2 linked regions of the Tamandua tetradactyla genome follow. The protein of the gene in region 1 interacts with the protein of each later gene in a pairwise test. Links are inferred from orthologs where the notes say so. Each region holds a gene or a part of one and is shown on either strand. Other genes may lie near its edges.

Region 1 (7,795 bases):
TTTTGCAGTGGTCTAAGCAGCACCTCTGAAACCACATAGCTCTTCTACTTCTCTGACCCCACTGTCTCAGACTTCCTCACTTGCCTTTTAATTTGTGGGTTCCCCAGATTAACACAGTGGGAGTTAGACGTTACCGGGTTTGTATCCAATCGTACTAAGTCATTACAAGTCTTAGCTGCTTCATATGTGGCCAAGAAAATGCAAACTCCTTCCCTAAATTGATCTCCCAAAATGCCCAGTCCCTCTTGACTCCATCCATTCTGGTGACATCAACATCCCTGTGACTACAGACCTGCCTCTCCACATGCTTAGCTCCATCTTCTCTATATCATGTCCAAAAACAGAGATTTGCTCCTTCTCCAGGGTTCCCCCTCTCAGGAAGCATCATCACTGTCTGCTAAGTACTAGGATAGAAACCTTGCAAATGCCATCTCCCTTTTCTCACCTCTCTCCCACCTCACCTTCTTGCTACTGCCTCTTAAATAGCTCCCCAACACACTCTCCTCTAAGGTGACATTTCTAAAGCACACGTGGGTCTTGTGACATTCTTCTGGAATTGCTGACTTGTGCTGCTAGATGCCAGTGGGGACACTGGGGTCGGAGGGGCAGAGAGAAGGTGGGAGGGAGCGTCTGGACTCCTGTTCATGTACTGGTTTCACTTTGTGAAAAATTAACCAAGCTATACCCTTACGATTTGTACACTTTTCTCTGTACTGTTTGTGGTGGTATGAAGCTATGCACCCCAGAAAAACATGCTCTCTTTAATCCGTTCCTGAGGGTGTTACCCCATTGCAAGACCTTTTGATGAGACTACTGCAGTTAAGGTGTGGTTCCTATTACTGGAGTCCTTTAAAAGCAAAGAGAAATTCAAACAGAGAGAAAGCCACAGGAAGCAAGAAGCTAAAGATCAACAGAACCCAGGAGAGACGAGGAGACGCTTGCCATATGCATTTCATGTGACAGAAGAGCTAAGGACGAAGGATTCCACTGATGATACCTTGAATTGGACCTTCTCTTAGCCTCAAAACCATAAGCAAATAATCCCCATTGTTCGCAGTGAACCATCACATGGTATTTGCTTGAGTAGCTAAGAAAAAGAAACCACTATTCAGCAGCACATAAAATAGCAGGTATCCCATTGAATTCAGTGAGTCCAAATGCCTTAATGAACTCAAGATTCACATTTGTAGCCTCAGCACCTTGATTCTCTTCTTGCTCATTCATTTATTCAATAAATATTTTAAGTACCTATCAGGTGCTGTCCTAGGCGTGAGGGATACAGCAGTGTTTGCATCCTGGTGCAGTGAGACAGATGAATGTAAAGGTACAATGTGTCACACACAGGGACAGGAGTGCCCATGGGGACGGGTTGGAGGAGGGAGCATGTGGCATCACCAATCCAGGAGAGGCTGAGCAGAGACCTGAAGGATGGAGATGGGCTTGACACAGGAAAAGTGTTCCACTCCAGGAGCCAGAGTGATAGGCACACAGGAAGAACAACAGGATGCTGGACGGCTGGGGCAGCCGAGTTGCAGGGATGATCCTGCAGGACGTAGGGCCACAACAGGAACATGGACTGACTCAGTTCGGCAGGTCTGGACAGTTTATGGTAAACACCGAGTGGAAGCAGGGAGCCCAGGCTGGAGGCTGCCACAGTCGGCCAGGCAGAAGACGGCAGTGCTGGAGACCAGGGAACAGGAGTAGACTGTAACAATGGTGGTGCTAGGTAGGATACTGCAGCTGTACCTTCAAAATAAGAGAAGGTACAGCTGCAGTATCTGACCATGGACTAGAGGCTGGGTGTGACTACCAGCTTGGCTTGTTAGCAGATGGCTGGGAGACATGAGTGCAGGGTGGCTCCAGGGTTTCGGCTGGAACAGCAGCAAGGATGGGGCAGCTGCGTACAAAGATTGGAACTGAGCAGGAGAAGGCGGCTTGTGGGAGGTGGTTGAACCAGTTTTAAACACGGTGAACCCAAAGTGCCCACTGACCACCCGAAACACGGTGTGAGGAAGAGGGGCACAGTCTGGACGGGGCAGGGTCCCTGGCTGGAGGTACACACTGAGATGGCATGTTGTTTTCTGACGGGAATGGTCCCAGAGAAAGGGGACACTGCCAAACCAGGAAAAGGAAGAGTCACTGGCATGGGAACTCAGGGCAGGCAGAGCAGTTCTGGTACAGATGCAGTGGGGGCAGTGGGTGAGGCAGGAGGGGGCTGGCCAAGCACAGAGGCAGAGAGGCAGAAGAAACAACCACGTGGGCAGTGTGGGAGCAAACGGTCCAGGTGGGAAAGGCAAGCAAGAGTGGAGAAGTGTTCCCACCCAGGCTGAGTCTCTGAGGGGAGCCAAGGGTACTGCTGGGTCGGGGAGGTGGCAGCGGCAGCCTCAGGTGAGGACCAACCATCGGAAGCCTGACCTTGGATCTCTTAGCCATTTCACTCTGCCAGGAAAGGAGCAAAATCCTCATGCTCCTGGGGGCGTGGAAGCCGTGGGGAAATCTGGAGAGCAGTGGGAGGGGTACATCCTGCAGCCTGACTAGACAGTCTGAAGCAGGAAGAGGACTGGACTGATGTCAGTCTTGCTTCTACTCTCAACTCTGCCAAAGATTTCTGGTGTGCCCCAGGCCTCCCACTCCCCATTCTGGGCCTCATTTATAGGGCAGCAGGTTTAAAGTAACCAATTCCACACTCTCCAGGATGGTTTCGGGTCATAAAAAGACCGCCTTTAGGGCCCTCTGCCTGTCCACTTCTGGAGTTAAAGTTTTGCAAGTTCCAGGGGCAGTGCCACGTGGGACCTAGCATTTCCGACAGGGGTCACCTCGGGCAGCATTAAGGCCAGGAGGACAGGACGAGATGACACAAAGTGGTGGTGAGTTTTTAACTTACACTTTTAAACACAGACGCTACTGTGGGAGAAGACCCTCCCCCCCATCTTCACAACTCACTTCCTGGACAGCTCAAGGGTGCAGTTACTTTTTGATCCAAAACCGTTTGTATTGCTCTGGGTCAAAGTCATCCTTGAGCTCTGGTTCTGTCTTTGTTTCTTGGAACTTAGCCTCACGCTTCCGCAGTCGAGCCTTCCTCTCTTCAGGAGACAGGGCATCAAGATCTGTGGGCAGCTACAGTGGGAGGGAAGGCACTGTGGTGCATTCTGGAGCCGCTCACGGAAGGGGGTGGGGGTGGGGGTGGAGTGAAACCAGTAAAAATGCCAAAACCTAACTGAGCTGATGTTAAATTTGTAAAGGATTACTGATATCACATTTTTCCAAGTCTTTGTTTGACCTTAGTTTTTTTCTATTGTACTTTGATTTTTTACATGTTCTGTTTTTTCTTTCCCTTCAAAGCGTTTTTCCTTATAAAAGAAAAAAAAATGTTTTCTTGTTGTTTCCCTGGGTTTTCTTTTTTTTTTTAATATAAAATTCATAAATCCCATCTACTTTTTCTGTATGCTCTCTGGGCATAAACTGACTTCTCAAACAATAACCCTTGATACTATATCATTCTTTCCCCACTGACGTGAGACATCTCCATTGTGCTCTTTGGCTACAAGCTTATTCTGAACTAACTAGCCCAAGAGCTCCCTGAGAGAGCATTTCTAAGGGTCTCTTCTTTCTGAGGATCTACTGGGGCCCAGGCCAGAGCAAAGTTCAGCAAGTGGACCCAGGCCAGGGGAAGAGGTCTCTTGAGCCCCTACAGTGTGGCTGTGCCTCCTCTTGCCTTTGCTCTGGGCTCACCTGGCATTTGGACCTAAGCAGATCCTGGGGAATGAGGTCAGAGAATGTGCCTGGTGACTGAGCCTTACCGCCAGCATCCGTCTTGGCTCCCTGTAGCGGATGTGGATGGTCGAGCCATCCTGCTTCACCAGGAGCACAGGATAGAGGCGTGCATACATTTGCCTGTGTATCCGTGTGAGTGCTGCTCTGTTACAGTCAGCCCGCCAGGAGGATGTGTGCAGGCAGTGGCATGAGGCAGCCACTCTCCTCAGGAAACTCTGCCGCAGCAGGCTGCAGGGAGACATGTGGATAACTCGTCAGTGGATCGAAGCTGGGGTCAAAGGTACCAAATGTGGCCCATGGCTGGCTAGCCAATCAGGATCTGGGACAAAAAGGCCTGAGAACTTGAGGTCACCAGATGGGTGCGGAAGAGCCAGGCATGTGTAGGGCTTTCCCCCTAGTTCGCTTTTTTATCACTTTGTATCCAGTGATACAAAAGTGCTGGCTACATAGGGAAGTGTCATAGAGGAGGCCTGCCTCGGTGATGAAGATGCAGGAATGGTCTGGCCACAGGCTGCCTGAAGTAGGGACTGGCCCTTGAAAAGAGAAGAGCAGACAGGGCTATAAGGGGGCACGGTGGACAGATGGGGGCCTTCCTTTCACTGCCCCACCTGCCCTGTCCTAAGCAGGGCCAAGAGGCCACTGTGGGGTGAGCACATGATGCTCCCCAGACACAAGGACAGTGGACAACAACCACGAGCCCAAGGGGTTTAGGAAAGACCTCTGTTTGGAGAGGCCTGGCTGACCAGCAGATCCTTGGACATGTGTATGGTACGGGAAGCTCAGTTCTGACAGAAAGATAACCGTCTGGGTGAGGATGATGCCAGACCCGAGATTCATGCAGTCAAAAGCAGGTACTCTAAAGTGACGGGAAAGAGGTGCTCTGGCCAAGCTCTGCCACTAACTGCTGGTTGACCCTGGACCTGTCCCTTACTCACTCTGGCCTCAGTCTGACAACGGGGCAGCTCAGCCTGTGACCTCTGATTGCCTCCAGCCCTGAGATTCCCGGCTTTAATCTCAATGTGGATTTAGACCCACTCCTAGGCCATTCTGCCATCTACCCATTTTTCCACAGCTTGAGGAAAAAATGTTAGAAACACTGCCAGCTTTTCTCAGGAAAAGCCTGCTGTTCTTTTCGATGCCCCGGACACATCAATTACCATTTCCACTTCATTCCTTTACTCAAATCTCTCTCAAAGCCCCTTTGCTTCAATGCCTAGCCATGTCTACCCCAGACCATCCCAACAGCCTCCTTCCAGGTACCCTCCCACTGCCATGCCCCTCTGATGGGGACTCCACACTAGAGCACTACTTCCACAAACTATCTGGTGAAATCACTTCAGGGGCTCCCGCTGCTCTCACAATAACAGGCAGATTACTGACTGCCCATATGGTCTTTGGGATTTCTCAGTCATATCCTACCCCCATCCTCTCCCACAACAAAACTGTTAGCCCAAGAACCCTGCAGGTCCACACAGAGAGTGCTGTCTCCCTCCTCCTAGCCACAGCCCCCACAGCCCACCGCCTGGAACTCCACTTTTCACCTCCTCAGGGTTCACACGATACCCCATGCTTCCCAAGACAGAATCATCTAGCTGACACCGTCCTGTTCTATGTGTCCATCTGGCCCCTAGACTATGATATCCTGGGATAAGAAATGCATCTTATTCACCATTAAATTTCAGACCTCTAGCATAGGACTTGGTAAATTTTGACAAAATGAATCTGGTCTCTGCCTTCAAAACTGCATGAGAAAAGCAAGGTGACCTGGTGGCACAGTAAATGTGGAATTTAGTCCATCTTCCAGGGCAGCCAGTAAATAGCCAGGAACTGTATAAACAGTTGGGGAAGCAGTGGTGACTGGACACACATCATACACCAGTCTAGGCCTAATTTTAAGTAGGCTTAGCCTATCCTTTGCAGGATTAAGTTTCATATGAACAAACCCCAAGATTGGAGGCTCAGCCTATTGCTTTGGCTATCCCCACTGCCTGTGAAAATACCAAAAATTCTCTATTCCGGTAAGTTGAATTTTCCCCCTTTCTCACCATCCCCCTTAGGAGACTCCGCAAATACTTCCCTATTCACCGTTCAAATCGCTCTGGGATTTATCTGGGCATCACTCTGGACAAACCTACAAAATCTCATGCCCTACATAAGGTTCCAAGTACTATCAAGTACTATCATTGTATCAAGTACAAATGTTAAAATAAATTTAGTAGATTGAAATGCTGGTGATCGGTGAAGGGGAGGGATAAGAGGTATAGTATGTATGAATTTTTCTCTATCTTCTTTTTATTGCTTTTTCTGAATTGATGCAAATGTTCTAAGAAATGACCATGATGATGAATATACAACTATGCGTGAGTTATTGATTATATAACAAGAACGGACTGATCATATGGTAAGAATGTTTGTGTTTGTATGTGGTTATGTATCATAAATAAAAAATAAATTAAAAAAAGAATAAAAAAAGAGACAAAGAAGGACAACAATGTGTCAATAAAAGGAAGAATTCAATAAGAAGCCATAAAATCATAAATAGTTATGCACCGAGCCAAAGTGTTCCAAAACATATGAAGCAAACACTGACAACACTGAAGGAAGAAGTAGGCACCTCTACCATAATAATGGGAGACTTCAACTTCCTGCTCTCATCAGTGGAGAGAACATCTAGACAGAGGCTCAGTAACAAAACAGAAATTTTGAATACAATAAATGACTAGACTTAACTGACATTTACAGAACATTACACTCCATAACAGCAACGGATACAAATTTTTCTCAAGTGCTCATGGATCATTCTCAAGGACAGACCATATGCTGGGTCACAAAGCTGTCTCAATAAATTTAAAAAGATTGAAATAGTACAAAACACTTTCTCGGATCATAATGGAATGAAGCTGGAAAACAATAGCAGGCAGAGGGCTGGAAAATTCACAAATAATATGGAGGCTAAACAACACACTCAAAAATCAGTGGGTCAAAGAAGAAATTATCAATAAATACCTCAAGGCAAATGAAAATGAAAACACAACATATCAAAATTTATGGGATGTAGCAAAGGCAGTTCTGGGAGGGAAGTTTATTGTTCTACTTTAAAAAAGAAGACAAAAAAAATCAAGGAATTAACTGTTCATCTGGAAGAACTATAGAAGGAACAGCAAACTAATCCTAAAGCAAACAAAACAAAAGAAATAATGAAGATTACAGCAGAACTAAATGAAATTGAAAATATGAAAGCAGTAGAGAGAATCAACAAAACCAGAAGTTGGTTCTTTGAGAAAATCAATAAAATCAATGGACCCTTAGCTAGGCTGACCAAAAAGGATGCAAATAAATAAAATCAGAACTGGAAGAGGAGACATAACAACAGACTCCACAGAAATGAAGGAGGCAATGCGAGGATACTATGAACAGCTTTATGGTAATAAACTAGACAATGTAGATGAAATGGACAACTTCCTAGAAAGGTATGAACAACCAACACTGACACAAGAACAGACGATCTCAACAAACCAAATACAAGTAAAGAAATTGTATCAGTCATCAAGAAGCTCCCAAAAAAGAAAAGTCCAGGACAGATGGCTTTACAAGTGACTTCTACCAAGCATTCAAGAATTAGTACCAATCCTGCTCAAATTCTTCAAAAAAACTAAAGAGGAGAAAAAATAACCTGACTCATTCTATAAGCCAACATCACCCTAACCAAAGCCTGACAAAGATACTACAACAAAAGAAAATTACACAACAATCTTTTTAATGAATATAAATGCAAAGATACTCAAAAAAATACTTGCAAATCAAATTCAGCAGCACATTAAAAGAATTATACACCATGACCAAGTGAGATTTATTCCAGGTATGCAAGGCTAGATCAACACAAGAGAATCAATTAATATAATACACCATATCAATAAGTCAAAGCAGAAAAAAAACACATGATCATGTTCATTGATGCAGAAAAATCATCTGACAAAATCCAACATCCTCTCTTGATGAAAACACTTCAAAGGACAGGAAT
Region 2 (7,823 bases), on another chromosome or scaffold:
AGGATAGTTCAGTGACAGAATTCTCACCTACCATGTGGGAGACCCGGGTTCACTTCCCAGCCTGTGCACCTTCCTCCCAAAATTCAACAAATGGTGCTGCGATAACGGGATAATCACATGGAAAAAAGAATGAAATGTGACCCCGCCATACAGCATACTAAATAAATTAATTAAAATGATAGCCTTGGAGATTTATATCCTGTCCTGCCAACTACATGCAAAATACCAGATTTCCTGTACTACACACCGTGAGGCAAGTAGTTTTTGCTACTTTTGCAGGAAGAGGTGGCAGACTATAAAAGTAGCATCATTTGTAGATATGCAGACTGTTTAACAGACAGTTCTAATAGGGACACAACTTATAGAGGTTGGATGCACGTACACCCTCACCCAATGTTAAACTTTCCTTATTCTGTTGCTGGAAGTCAGTGTAGCCTAGAGGTAAGCACATGAACTTTAGAGTAAGGCAGATCTGGATTTGAATCCAGACTTCGCCACTTGTGAGCTGTGCAACTCTGGGCAAGTGGCTTTACCCCACTGAGCCTCCGTTTTGCAATCAGCAGATTTCAGACAATAAAGTTCCTTTCTCATAGAGTTATGACAAGGATTAAATGAAATGATGTTATTAAGGGTTTAGCATACGTGGTGACTAAAACATAGAACAGACCAACATGTACTTGATAAGTCCAATTATTATTAATATCTGAGACAGCAAGGAATGCAATTGTCTTATACTGTCATGCAACAAGGAATGGAGGATTCTTATAGTGTCACTCCACAAGGACATGTATTGTCCATGTTAGTGCAGGGGGCATTTGAAGCAGTGCGCATCAATAAATGGACAATAAATGGCAGAAAGGGGATTTAGATTATTCACAAGGTAGAACTTCCAAGAAGTGAGAATTGATAAATCCCGAATAGTGCAATTATTATTTTTATCCCTATCTATGTAAAGAGATACAAAATCTTCTAATTTGAATTGCTTAACACCATCCTATTTAAAGGCACAAAGACAGATGAATGGGTCTTATTATCATATTCCATTATCTCAATAATTACTTGAATCTTACACTGTTCACTGGACTTTTGGAAATAGGTACAGACCATCAAGTACCCTTTATCTCTTGGTGCTGGTGGATAATGATCTGTCCCATTGCACTCAGAGGTGTCCTGGACACAGAGAGATTAAGCGGTTTACACTAGGTAACACAGTGAGGTCATCGAGATGGGATTTGAACTGCCTCAGTAGGAGCAGTAGCTATTTCTCTGAGTTGGAAGTGCTGCTTCTTTGGGTCACTGAAGGAAGGACGTATAAGAATTTCTTCAGTCTCCACAAAGTACCTCAATCTGAAAATCCTAGAGTTACTTCTCTTTGGTCTCCCTTTGTTAAAATGAAAGAGCAATAGCAATTAGGAAAAGAAGCACCCTCTAGACATGGATGACAACTTGATTTATCTGAAATGCCAACCCCAGTGAATTAGCAATCGGTTCTCTAGAAGACTGTGTTGAGAAGGATTCTGAGGCTACATCGCAGAAAGAGTGCTGCAATGGATTAGTGATGCCTGCCATCAGCTGTGTGCAGAGGAGAAGCTGCAATTGTGCCACATATTTGTGTTCACTGCCCAGCATATTGTTAGTATTTGGCTTGTGGTGGGGACTGGCTTGCACCTGGAAAAAAAAATAGAGAGCAATACCCTGACAAAAGGTGACACAAGATGGCTATATTTTGATAAAGTGATGAAGGGCCTGGAGTTTGGGGCATGTTGGGGAAGGCAGACCTAAAGCAACTTTGTTAGGGTGGAAGGAGGACAAACATTAGGCTATGGGAACCCAGAAGATAAATTAGACTGTGAGATCCTTTAGGGAAGGGACCATGTTTTGTTCATTTTTGGAACTTCCATGCCCAGGACTGTGCCTGAACAAGATTAGGCATCAGTGAATGATTATGTAACTGATCACCGTCTGACTTAAGAAATTGACAGGTGATGATGGCGACGTAATAGCTATTCCTTAATAGACACTGACCATGAATTGGACACTGTTGCTAAATCCCTTCCAGGTAATATTTCCTTCAGCCCTCACAATAACTCCTTGAAGTTTCCACTAAGCTCTCCGTTTTGCAGATGGGGAAACTGAGCCAGAGGTTAGCAATACTCCAAGTTCATCCAAATATTCTACAGTCTGTACATGCATTAATTTCTTTAACCCTCACAGCTAGTTCCTTTAAACATAGGCTCTTTAATCTCTATAGAATCTCTGTGTTACGGATGGAGAAACTGAGGCATGCACAGGTAGTCACTCCTCCGAGATCACACAGTAGGAAATGACTGAACTCAAACTTGAATCAGGCAGTCTGGCTCCAGTGGCAGATTCATTACCTGAGACCCCCATTTAGATGCTCAATCACCTCAGTGGCTCATTGGTACTCACTCACTTTTACATTCTACCCGGGTATGTTTACTATCCTAAGGACCCCCCACACACACACACAAAAAAAAAAAACCAGAAACTTTTTTAACAGGCCTCCTTTGTGTCCTTGGGTGAGTCACTTAGGTAAGAGCAGATTCCTGTCCCACCTCACCTGCTGCTGTGGGGTTCAAAAGAGGCAGTACCATGGGAATGGAGTTTTACCAACATTCTGAGAATTTAAGAACAGCTGGAGAGGTTGTTTGACCTTGTGGAGTGTGATCCCACTGACTGATGACTCAGTTCAGACCCTAAGTGTCCCAAGGATGATTTTAAATACCCCAGCCTACTTAAGGAGCCAGCTGTCAAAAAAATTTAAGATGACATCAGCTTCAGGGTAGAAAATAGGGCTTGAGAGCAGTCAGAGAATGGGAGTATTTGACCAAAGCGGGGTGGGGGTGTGGGGAGCTGGCCTCCACTTCTTTCCATGCCCACACTCCCTAGTCGTCTCCCACCTCCAGACGCCCTACACACCCAAGCCAGGAGATGCATCTCTAGCTGTTGACCAGAAGGGGTCACTGCAAAGCAAAGCAGCACTCTAAGGCCCTCTTATAAACCCACCCATGAAATTCCAAATACGCACATATCCAAATATATATATACCCTTCTGGACCCATACTCTAGGGTTTTTTCCATCTTCTCCTCCCCCACCCCCACCCCCCACATCTTGTTCTCTCTGCTTCCTCTTTCTCCCTTCTCCCGTCTTCCTCTCCTGTTCATTTTCAAAGAATTTCTCAAATTCACATTGGTGGCCTGGTCCCCCATTGCCATCAGCATCGGCAAGAAGCTTGGGCTTATTCCTGCTCCTGGCCGGAACCTGGTGCCAGGTGCTGGGGCTCTTGTAGACTCAGCGAAGCCTCCTTCCAGGAGTTTACAGCCTTGGTGGGGGTGCAGAGGGGTGGGGCAGCTCTGCTGGGATTAAAGGGCTCGAGGCAGAGATGGGCTGAGGGGGTGCAGCAACTTTTGGCTTTCTTAATGAAAACCCTGGGAGGAAACGAGAAATTCTGACCCTGATGCTCTATGTCTGAGGTTTATTTATGATTCTAAACCTCCGCTTCCTGGGATTAGGATTGAACTAGGAAGGGGTAAAGGATGGGGAGGAGGGAGTGAAAAGTTGACTCCTCCCATAATCTTCGGATTCTGCGCTCCCCCCAAAGCCCTCCCTATAAACGCTTTCTTTTCTAAAAGGGACTCCCTTCCCCAGGCAAGCTGTGTTAAGAAAGTGCCTGCCGCCGAGTTCCCAGGAGTGGCTGGGGGCGGATGGGGGAGTGGGGGCGGGGGTTGCAGTCCTTCCTCGGGACGGGTCTGGCTGCGAGACACAAAAGACATATCCCTTACAGCGCCGCAAGGACAGATGTAGCGCTGCGCCCCTCTGCGGGCGGGGGCCCGGCTCGGCAGATGGCGAGAAGCTGAATTGGGGAGGGGTTGTCCATCAGACAGCACTTTCTGGGTGGTGCTGATCTCGCGGTCCCCGGGGCACTGGCAGCAACTCAGGGGACCCCCTTTCCGGGTCTAGGTAGTCCAGAAGTTGGGGGCGTGGGGGGGGGGCGGATTGGTTTGGGAGGGTAGGTTAAGTTTTTTGCCTCCCTCTCACTAGGAGATCCTCTACAGGACTTCTTTCTGAAGGGGTTGAGAAGGGAGGTGCCCGGAAGGCACACGAAGGAGGCGGGCGGGGGAAGAAGAGAGAAAGCGCCGGGAAGCACAATCTCCAGCCGCGTTCGGGGTGCCGGGATTGCGTCTTCCAGGCTCAGCGCTGCAACTCTGTCGCCGCGGGCCCTGGTGACAGGCGCACGCCCCGCCCTTTCTCCTCCCAAGACCTGCGGGCTTTTGTTATGCAGATGGCGGCAGGAGGCTGAGCGGGAGGGGGAGGGGGAGAGGGCTGGGGGGAGGAGGAAAGACGAAGAAGGAGGGGAGGAAAGTGCAGCTCGCGCGACCAGCCTCCTCTTCCAACGTCACATTGTGCGAGAGACAAAACCCGGGCGCGCCGGAGCTCACACGCGCACGCACACCCGGGCGACCCCGCCGCCTCTCCTCTCCCGGCACTGCCGAGAGAGCCAGCACCCCCCAACACCGCCCCTTTCCCTCCTGGGGCGCCCGGCCTCAGCAAGCTCAGAGCGCAGCCCAGAGCCCAACCTCAGAAGGTGAAGAAAAGCCGGCGGACGAGCCTTCTTTCTCCGCTGCCTGCCCGGGCTGAGGCGCCCCCTCCCCCTCCTCGAACCCCCGAGCTCTCCCACCCCACCCCTCCGGGTGTTTCACACGGACGGAGCCGGGAGCCGGGTGCGCCCCCCTGTTTGGAATCCACGCTTCAGCACTTCGGACAGCGCCCGCGGCCCGGCCCCTTCGGGTTGGCTATGGCGAGCGTTCAGCAAGGCGAGAAGCAGCTTTTTGAGAAGTTCTGGCGAGGGACCTTCAGAGCGGTGGCCACCCCGCGTCCCGAGAGCATCATTGTCGCCAGTATCACGGCCCGCAAGCCTCTGCCAAGGTAGTGACCTCCTTCCCCACAGGGGAGCCCCTGCTGATCCCCCTCTCTGGCCTGTACCCCAGAGCCCTGAGGGGTGGATACAGGGGACTGGGCCAGGATGCCTGCCTTTTCCTGTCACTCCTCGGTATCTCCGGCTGGAACGTGGGAACTAATTGCTTGTGTGGAGTGGACGCTAACGAGAAGGGATGGGGTCCTTTGTGGGAAGGGGCAGTTGACATACTGAGATCCCCGTTTTGCTTTCTTAGGGTGGGCAGTGACTTTCTTAGGGTGACTGGCTCTAAGAAACTTTTCTTGGTATTGCAGGGCTCAGAGGGCGGGATGGGGGGGTGGGTGGAGGTATGGTGGGTTTCCTGTGGTTTGGGAGTGTTGTGTAAGAAGGGAGGGTGAGCGTTTAACAGGCTCCAACAGTGTTCAGAGACAGCAACACATTTCTATACTCAGCTCAGAAACGAGCGAGCTCTGAACATTTTGACAAAAGCCCATATGCTGTTCCCTCAAATACACCCAAAACATCACCCTCCTCCACGCCTTTCTCACTGCTGCTGCTGCTGCTGAATTCTCTCCTCTCCAGCATCCAAACCGAGGATTCTGAGCTCAAGAGTCAGGGAGAAGCCTTCCAAGACTGTGAAGATGGTCTTGGAAGAGTTTTATTTGAATTTTCAAAAGGATCCGATTGCTTTGAATTCAGTGTTGGTGGTGGAAATGGTGTGAGGTGGACAGAATAAGGGAAGAAATTCAAGGAAGGCAGAAAGAGGGAAAGCAGGACGTGGGGCAGAAGGGAGAAGAGGGTGAGGGAAAATGGAGGCATTCCAAGACAGAAAATCCAACTCTTCAAAAATCATTCAATTTAGTGGAGTTTGAGAATGAAAAGGGAAAAGGCTATGCCCTCTGTCAGGGAAAATCAAGGCAGTATGAAAACTCATCTTTTGCTGGTGTTGGACGAGTGGTTCAGTGGGAGAAAAAGAAAGAAGTGGACCTGGGGGGGGGGGACACTTGGGGGATTTATTAATCCTGGCAGCCTGTATCAGGGAGTAGATTGAAACATGTCTTGAAAAGTGCTTTAGACAGAATGTCTGTTCTGTCTAAAGCACAACGCAATCTGAACTTTGCAGTGGGTGTGGGATGGAGGACTGATGGGCCATCATACCTAAAATAAAAAAAATAATAAAAAAAAAAAAATCACACCCAGACTGGAGAACTTTTCCCTTCACAGTTTGATAGAGACTTGGCTCACACCAGTCTCTAGAAAATTGGGTGCCCCGTGTTGGGAATGTATGGACTGGAGACATGCTGGCCCAGCAGGCTGTAGCAGGCTGCAAGCAGCAGCAAGACAGTGTTTGCAGACAGGAGGGAGGGGGACAGCTACTGACACAAGCCAGAGAAGGAGAACAATGACACCAAACGCTATCAAAAGCTGACGTTTCTCTGCTTGGAATGAGTTTCTTTCTAGAGCGTTTTGACGTCAGTGGTTTTATCTTCCTGGGTTTCTGCCGTGTGTTCCACCTTTGGAGTGCACATGCTGTTGGCAAATCAGGTGCTGCGCTGGCCAGAGAAAATGCCCTTGTAGAAGGAACTAGAGAGGAAATTGCATTGAAAACTAGAAGTGTGGCATTTGGTTCAGAGTCTTCCACCTACTTCAGTGGTGCAGGGAGAGGAGATCAGATTCCTGGTGTGTTTTCGTTCGAAAAGTCATGTCTGATTTCTACCTTGTTTGGTACCTTCATCCTTTGCCTAGTAGTCTGTTACTTTCATGCCCTTTTCTTGTTCAGAGTCTGAATTGGCCACAAGGGCTCCCAATGCCCGTATCTTTGAGACTCTCACAATAACCACCTCTTCCCCAACCCACAGGTATCACCTCAGTCTTGGTGTTTTTCTAATATCCTGAGTCTCTTTCTCCCCTGGAAACCAATCCTGAGTGAGAGTCTGAGCCACAAGCCCCTGATTTATGTCAGGCTGGAAGGGTCCTCTGTAGAGTAAAGTCTAGTTTTACAGCTTTTACTCTTGTTTTGGGAGTGGAGATGAGCAGGGAATATTTGTATCAAAGCCCTCAGGAAAGACTGCATTTGGGTTGCCTTTTAACTGACTGGCTAGAAAAAACCCGAAACCTCTCCATTCTCACCCAAACTAGGCACATCCAGTGATGGTCAATTTTCATCTCCTTTCAAATATCCTACTTACCTGAGGGTGAAAATGCTGTTTCTAAAGCATAGCTCTTAGAAAGGGAAAGGGCAGAGATTCTGGCATAGCTTCAGCTAGGACCCATTTGCTTCCTCTAGAGGTAATTTGGGGCTTGGCCACCTCAGAAATGTTGTTTACTTCCAAGAGTCAAACCTATCTCACAGTCAGTAGATCTACCCAAATAGCTGTCTGCAGACGCATGGGGGAGGGGACGGATTAAGTAGCAGCCAGTCTTTTGGTTACACTCTTAATATGTGCTTATAAATGAGGGCCACCCTGTGAATGAACTCCTCCAGGATATTTTAAGTCTATCTCCAAAGATAATTTAGTACCAGGACAGAAACATACATTCAGATGGAAGCATTCATTCAATTTGTTGGTTTCACAGCACTATGCATACATCATACAACTGCACACCAAGCAAAACCTCCCTGAGTTACCCCTCCTCTTCCCCTCCACCTCGGTGAGGCATATTTGATGAGGCAATAGCTTTATAATGTATCAAATTGCAAGCAGATGTCTGACTCAAATGTCAGAACAGTATAGCAGAGTGGGAGGCAGTATATCATAGCGGTGAAGAGCTCAGCCTTGAGTGTCAGACAAACTTGAATTTCTGTCCTGGCTCCTATCATTTACTCACTGAGTGTCTTGAGCAAGTGGCTTAACCTTGCTGAGCTTGTTTCATTGTTTTTCAAAA

Evidence for each region.
Region 2: the proteins of C20H1orf35 (region 1) and SRRM4 interact in binary tests that used the Homo sapiens proteins (3 or more experiments, as listed by UniProt). The link is inferred for Tamandua tetradactyla from reciprocal best matches to the Homo sapiens genes C1orf35 and SRRM4.

What each region holds. Positions count from the first base shown.
Region 1 is NC_135346.1:62,975,427-62,983,221, reverse strand, and holds the start of C20H1orf35 (multiple myeloma tumor-associated protein 2), read right to left. Parts: upstream 2,968-7,795; 5' UTR 2,944-2,967; exon of another isoform or gene 2,863-2,943; intron 1,747-2,862; exon of another isoform or gene 1,108-1,746; intron 1-1,107. Other genes in the region: MRPL55 (large ribosomal subunit protein mL55), read right to left, coding at 2,968-3,117, 3,801-4,002.
Region 2 is NC_135331.1:19,231,422-19,239,244, forward strand, and holds the start of SRRM4 (serine/arginine repetitive matrix protein 4), read left to right. Parts: upstream 1-4,817; coding exon 4,818-4,948; intron 4,949-7,823. UniProt on the Homo sapiens protein: Splicing factor specifically required for neural cell differentiation.